Linked DNA regions of Macaca mulatta. The protein of the gene in region 1 interacts with the protein of each later gene in a biochemical or structural test. Links are inferred from orthologs where the notes say so. Each region holds a gene or a part of one and is shown on either strand. Other genes may lie near its edges.

Region 1 (3,485 bases):
CTGCCCCGCTGAGCATTGGAGGCACGGTCGGGGCCCTGCTTGATCCATGACAAAGTCACTTCCTTGTCAAATGCTTCAGGACCCATCAGCATGGTGATCTGTCAAAACCAAAAACAGTGGGTGGCAAGCCTTTACGTGACCCTGAGGTCAAGATCACAGAGTCCCTCGACCATCGACCGTCGTGGAACTTGCGAAACCTGAGTATTTCCTGAATGAATGACTGCCTAGAACACTCTCCCTGCAAGCCAGTTTCGGAAGCCCCAACCTGCAGCTGTTATTGTTCTGCACCCCACAGCAACTGCTTGGAGACCCCCCCGGGTCTGGCAGGGGGACGCAGAGGTCCCGAAAGGGTGCAGTGAGGTGGCCGATCAGGGGCTGAAGCTGGTGATCCTTGGGCCAGGACTCAGCTGCCCAGCCCAGAAGTTGGGGGCTGCCTCGGTCCATGACACACAGGCTTCTCAAAACCAGCGAGGTCAGGGAATTTCCACCCCTATCCAGGCCTGGAGGGTCTGTGAGGACCAGAGTCCTCTTGACTAGAGGACCACAGGTTTGTAAACATCCACACCAACACCACCCACAGCTGCTGATTGTTTATTGCACAAGAAACTGGCAATATCGAGGCAGGGGGCGGGTATTACAAAATAGTCTGGTGACCAGCCCATGGCTAGCAAAGGGCATTCCGTACAGACACTTCAGTTATATACACGTACGCACACACACGCACGAACACACACGAACACCCGTGAGCCTGATGCTTCCAAACCTCACCAGCAGCTTACGCCCTGACCCACCCTGGAGCGGCTTCCGTGGTGGCGTGCCGCAGGGAAGTACGGCAAATGACTGAAAGGGACAGAAGAGGTTGCGCTGTGGCAAGCTGAGCCACTCAAATCAGCACACATGACACAGGCAGACGCAGGCTGCACCTCCCCGGCCAGGGAAAGGTCGAGAATCTGGGAGCATGGAGACTGTGCTTGGAAGGTACCCGGGACCAGGCCAAGGGGCTGCCTGGGGTCCTAGAATCCTGGGGGCCCGGGCAGGGAGTCTGCCATGATTACTGCCCCAGCATCCTGGGGGGGCATGGTCATCTTGAAGATTTCAATGTGACCTGTGAAGATTCCAATTATGGCAGAGTCCCCGGGTTGGAGGCTGGTGGGAACTGCAGAAATCAGACCGGGCTATGCAGCAGGTCAGGGCCTTTCTGCTGGTTTCCACGTCCTGTGTGCAGATAAAGCACCTACGCAGAATGGACACTTTCCGCTGGCCGGGCCGCACTCCATTCTGAACAGGGGACCAGCAGGCCCACCTGGAACTCCAAGGGCTGACGGGAGAGCTCCACAGCCGGATCCCTGTGTCCCGCCACTGGGGACTGCCTGGGGGACCCTATCTAGCAAAGGGATTTCTTCTCTATTGAAGGCGGCAAGGCTAGGAGTGGCGCTCGGGACCTCAACCCCTCCCACTCTGCCAGGCTCGGGGACGAGGTCCCTGCCAGGCTGCGCCGCTGGGTCAGGCCCGCCTGAGCTCACGGAACCACCAGGCAGGTTCCTGAGACGCGTGGCTGTTTGGGAAACTCGTGGACCCAAAGGCCTGGGTCCCTCAAGGTCTCAGAACGCCTGGGGTGCCAACTCCTGGACAGAAAGTGACAGCAGCATAACAAAAAAAACTGCAACCCTACAACACAACCGCTTCAAGTTTATAAATGGAAAAAGAAAGTCTGAGGGAGTCTGCTGTTTCTGTCCCATGGATACCCAGGCAGCTTAGACAAACCTTCATTTGCTGAGAATGAATTAACTGACCAGCATGCGTCCTGCGACTCAGCCTCCATTGCTGCTGCCTGCTAGGGAGGCAGGCGGAGATGGCCTCGCCCCAGGGCCGTCGCCCTCAGACCTTCACTTCGTCTCGATCATCAGGCAGAACCTCCTTTGCTGGCAAAGACCCTTGGCTCTCAGTCCAGAACAGCCCAGCCCACCCCAGGAGCCGGTCTCCTGGCCAAACTAGTCCGGGAGGTCTTCGGCCTCTGCAGCAGCCCCTGGGGATGCAACACCTTCCCTTGCACACACACACACCCAGGGTGGGGTCTAGGGGATGGGGGAGAGTTTTGCAGAGAGGGTCACCCCTCTGGAACTTTGCGAAGGTGGGGCCAAAGGCAACTAGGGGGCTTTATTCCAGACTGCCATCCATGGGTGGGGGGAACTGCAGGGCCTCCTGGGATCAGGCTCTTCTGCCAGAAGCGAGATGATGGTGTCGTCCCACACAGGGCCACATCCACGGGGGCCTCCCAAGGGCTGCAGGGCCGGTGGCCTCCCAGGCAGGGAGGACTCAGGACTATGTGTGCACTGGGGGGTGTGGGGGGGCGGCCTCAGTTACTCCTGTCCAAAGCCCTCGGTCTCCTCAATGGCATACAGCAGCTTCTCTCTCAGCTGTTCGTAGCTCTTGTAGGGAGGAAGATCCAGACGGTTGAAGCTATCGAGAGCGGGGAAAGCACGACAGTCAGCCCCAGGAGGCCAGGGCCCTGACAGCCCCGCCCTGCCTGCCTGCAGCAGGGCCACAGGGCTTGCGCCACACTGGCTAGGGCTCAGGGGCTGCCAGTCAGGCCTTTACACTGCAGGTACCTGGACCATGGGGTGTTAAGGGAGGGGCCAGGACAGCTGGAAATTGGTTGGGGGGACACTTAGGGCAGTAGCTCTTGGACTACTGGAACAGAAGCGCTTCATATGTAAAACCCGGCAGATAAGATGCCCATCACAGCCCCATCTCTCCAACCCAACACCCCAGGGCCACGCAAAAGCTGTCAGACTCGAGGCTAAGAAGCTGCTACACCCACTGGGCTGTCCCAGGAGCTCATCGGGTCTGAGGCCCCCCGACGTCCCACTAAAACTAGAAGGCTCACCAGGTGTGGCTTCTGGGCAGCCAGGTTTCCTTGCCAACTTTGTCAATGCAAAACTTCTGTGGTCCATTGCTACCTGTGATCCAAGGTAAAACACACCCATGTCAACAGAGACGTGCCTTCCCAAAGCAGGACCCTCCGGCTCCACCCACAGATGGGCTCAGCCCCAGGACACAGAGGCCTCAGCTCTTCTCCATCCCACTGACGTGCTTCCAGGAAAAGACTAGGTTCCCCCCTCCCTCTGAGCTGTCCTCACTGCCAGCCAGGACACCAGAGGGCGAGAGAAAATGTACCGATGAGTTCAGCAAATCCGCCGATGGGCAGGCGGCAGGTCCCAGTGACAAACTGCAGCAGCCGGATCCTCTTCTCATTGTCCATCTCCTTCACCACCTGGAAGTCCGCAAGTCAAGGCACAGTCAGGCGACCCACGGGCCCAGTACTTAGCCCGAACGTGGAGCTCTCCAGCTCAGCGGGGCCCCTCTTTGGGGCTGAGGACACAGAGCCAGGTTGGCCAGGGGATGACAGCCCCCAACCTGAGAAAGCCCGGAAGTGCTCCTGCTAAGAGGCTGTGTCTGCAGAAGATTCCCACCCGTCCATGGGA
Region 2 (3,746 bases), on another chromosome or scaffold:
ACAATGGAAGCTCCTCATTAGACTGAAAGCTCCCAAGGAGAGAGCAAGCTGGCGCTCCCATTCCCCTGTGCCTCATCTGGCACAAAATTCGGCACGAAGCAATCTGCTCAGCCTGACAGATCCCAAAGCCCAGCCTTGGGGTCATCTCTCCAATGGGTTCCCTGTGGTGGACTGGACTTGCCCCTTCTTCTTGACCACGACATCAAACCATGAACACTTACTCTGATCAACACCATGTCCTGGCCACACACCACACACTGACACTTAGGCATTAACAAATACTGTCAACTAAATGAATAAACATATAAAGCATCAGACTCTCTGCCCTGGTTGTTTCTCTCTCTCTTTCCACACACACCCTTGCCGCCAAATTAGGACACCTTGTCTAATTAACCCGTTAGCCTAATATGGTCATAAGAGCCAGGATATATATCAACTTAATCCATTTGCTGTCAATGTGACAACACAGCCCAGTCACTACCAATCTGTGTCAGCATCATGTAGGATTCTTCCCAACATAACACAATCTCAGCATAGCTCAGTCCACTCTTAAGACAAATTACTGTGTATCACCATAACCTTTATAGAGTAGTCAGCCTCAATACTAATGACAATTACCATTCACCATGAATTTACCATGTACCACACACCTGAACTAACCATTTCATTCTGTGATTTTCTCCATGTCACAGACGAGATCAAGACACAAAATTTAAATTAATTGTCCAAGATTGCACTGCTGACAACTAGAAGAACCTTGACTTAAAGCCAAGATAACTCCCAAGATAGTATCACCCTTCCCATGTCAAACAATCTTTCTAGCTAGAGTCCAGTTTGTTCAGTTCTTCTAAAACCCATGCTATCTCAACTTAATCCAGCCTGCCTTCAAAAAAGCAGAGGTTGGGCTGGGCGCAGTGGCTCACGCCTGTAATCCCATCACTTTGGGAGGCCGAGGCGGTCCGATCATGAGGTCAGTAGATCGAGACCATCCTGGCTAACACGGTGAAACTCCGTCTCTACTAAAAAAATACAAAAAATTAGCCAGGTGTGGTGGTGGGTGCCTGTAGTCCCAGCTAGTGGGGAGGCTGAGGCAGGAGAATGGCGTGAACCCGGGAGGCGGAGCTTGCAGTGAACCGAGAATCAGCCACTGCACTCCAGCCTGGGCGACAGAGCAGACTCTGTCTTTAAAAAAAAAAAAAAAAAAAAAAGCAGAGGTTGAGGACCCAGAGAGGGCTCAGCCCCAAAGACCATAAACACAAAAGGGCTTTCTCTGCATTATTTACATGCCAATCTAGTCCAAGATAGCCCTGAATGTCCAAATTACCCTAGGATAGCCCAATCTATTCTAGCACAGCCTACAATGTCCCCACACGCAGCTAGCTGTCTGCACCAATATAGACTAGAATACCCCAATACAGCTACCTGTACTAGCATGGGCACCAACAGCCTTGTCTGCCCCCATACTGAGTGCTCCAATAAAACCATGTCTTGCCCCAAGATAAACCAGGATTAACCAATACAGCCCAGTAGAGTCCATAATGGCCCAAGTTTGTTTTGTTTTGTTTTTTGGTGTTTTTTTTTTTTTGGAGATGGAGTCTTGCACTGTCGTCCAGGCTGGAGTGCAGTGGCGCGATCTCGGCTCACTGCAACCTCCGCCTCCCAGGTTCAAGCGATTCTCCCTGCTTCAGCCTCCCAAGTAGCTGGGACTACAGGCGCCCGCCACCACGCCCGGCTAATTTTTTTGTATTTTTAGTTAGTACAGATGGGGTTTCACCGTGTTAGCCAGGATAGTCTCGATTTCCTGACTTCGTGATCCGCCCGCCTCGGCCTCCCAAAGTGCTGAGATTACAGGCGTTACAGGACTCCTGAGAACGTACTAAACGACCAGACGATAAATGAATTTACTCAGTACAGTCTAAAACACTCCAAAATAAACCAGTATGCCCCCACCTATTCCAGTAGAGCCTAATCGTCTCTAATCTGGTTTAGGATATCCTAGTCTGCCCGTGTGCCTCAATCTATCCAAGCATAACCTTGTCCATCCTGGGAGAGTCAACCTACCTCAGCATGGTACAATCTGCTCCACCACAGGCCAGAAAATCCTAGTGTGGCCCGAAGTAGATGTGTGCCCCTCCACGTCGCCCAATCCACTCTAGCAAAGCCCCCGTCGGTCCTATCTAGGCCTTGCGCTCACCCGAAATCCTGATCCATAGACTTGAAAAAGTACTTGGCGCCCGCGGGCCGCTGCAGGACGCTCTTGAAATCGCCGAGGGTGATGCGCTCGGCGGGGACAGGGATCTTCACCAGGTATGGAGTCTCTTCCTCATCCAGGTGGTAAATCACCTTCGTCTCCCCAACCCCACCGCCCCCAGCGCTGCTGCCCGCCATGGTCTCGCCCGCGCGCTCCCGGGCTCCACCGCCCACCCAAGGGGCTAATGGCCCCTGCCGCGCCTGCGCACACCCGCAAACCGACGAGCGAGCGCGGACAGGACGGACCCAGTACTGGAGAGAAGCAAAGGGAAAAAAGCAGGGGTCGGCAAGGGTGGCGGCGGGGGGCGGGCCGCGAGGTGCGACTCAAAGCCGCGGTCTCAGCGGCCGCCGCGCGCCACCGCCACCGACAACGCGAGCGTCCTCCAGGTCCCCGCCCACCTCTCCTCATGTCACGTGACCTAAGCCCGCCCACCCCGCGCTCTTCAGCCGCCCCCGTCACGTGACCCCTCCCAGTCACGTGACCGCGTGACTCCTCCTAGTGCCCCCGCCACGTGATCGCTGCCTTCGGCAACGGTCTCCCAGCCCCCAAAGGTGTACCCCAGCCGAGGTCCTCCGAGCACCCAGGATAAGCTGGCCTGTGCCCTCAGGAAGCGGACAGTCGGCTCCCACCCGGCTTTACCCCACACCGGCGGGAGCGCGAAGCAACTCTGACCCTCAGGAGTGTGCGTGCAGGGAGTGAAGGTGGGGATTGTGGGGGTTCCTAGACTCGAGTGGGGAGGGCCAAATACAATGAAAGCTCTGAGGTGGCTTACTCAAGTATCTTGGGGTGGGAGAGGCCCAGTGCTGTGCCATCTTCAGACTGGACTGTGAGAGGTGGCTTTCAGCACCACGTCCAGCTAGTCTTCAGCCACCAAAGCCTCCCTCCCAAGCAGGACAGTGAGGGCTATAAACACAAAAGAGCCCACTCTGCTTTATTCACAACACGCAGGCTGTCTGTACAAACAGCGGCCAATATTATTAAAAAGAGGTGAGTGAGAATCGTCACCTTTCTGCTTTCCTTCCTTGCTTGGCCAGGCTCTAGTACTCCACCTTTGAGCTGCCATGCCCAGTAGGGGAAGTCCAAAATTAAAAATACAACCGGTGTAGAAGAAAATAAATGGGGAGTGAAATAGAAGAAAAGATGAGGGAGGGGAGTGCTAATATTTACACTAGAGTTTTATAGACAACTGTCCCATTCCATCCCAATTCCAATCCTGACCCAGAAAGTGATGGTGGCAGGTCCAAGAGACAGAGATTATGTGTCTAGAGACACAGACAGCCTCCCACCCGCAACCGTAATGGGTTCAATTTCAAGTTCAGAGTGGGGAGGACGGATAGGGTAGGAAAGTGAGACACTCATTTTCAAACAAGTCTCCCTTGGGAATTCCTGCCTTGAAGTGCGGACAGTATCCAAGCTCCAGGGGGTAGGCTGAGGACCCTGAGGCTCAGTTCCCAAATCATGTTATCATTTGGAAGTTCCAGGCTAAAGTTGGTGC

What was found. The genes of interacting proteins can lie anywhere in the genome.
Region 2: the proteins of WWP2 (region 1) and DVL2 form a complex in vitro, tested with the Homo sapiens proteins (2 studies listed by BioGRID, with this or other methods). The link is inferred for Macaca mulatta from reciprocal best matches to the Homo sapiens genes WWP2 and DVL2.

The regions. Positions count from the first base shown.
Region 1 is NC_133425.1:65,564,709-65,568,193, reverse strand, and holds the end of WWP2 (NEDD4-like E3 ubiquitin-protein ligase WWP2), read right to left. Parts: intron 3,275-3,485; coding exon 3,178-3,274; intron 2,961-3,177; coding exon 2,888-2,960; coding exon of another isoform or gene 2,884-2,887; exon of another isoform or gene 2,855-2,883; intron 2,532-2,854; exon of another isoform or gene 2,461-2,531; coding exon 2,361-2,460; 3' UTR 580-2,360; downstream 1-579. UniProt on the Homo sapiens protein: E3 ubiquitin-protein ligase which accepts ubiquitin from an E2 ubiquitin-conjugating enzyme in the form of a thioester and then directly transfers the ubiquitin to targeted substrates.
Region 2 is NC_133421.1:8,718,312-8,722,057, forward strand, and holds the start of DVL2 (segment polarity protein dishevelled homolog DVL-2), read right to left. Parts: upstream 2,674-3,746; 5' UTR 2,389-2,673; coding exon 2,195-2,388; intron 1-2,194.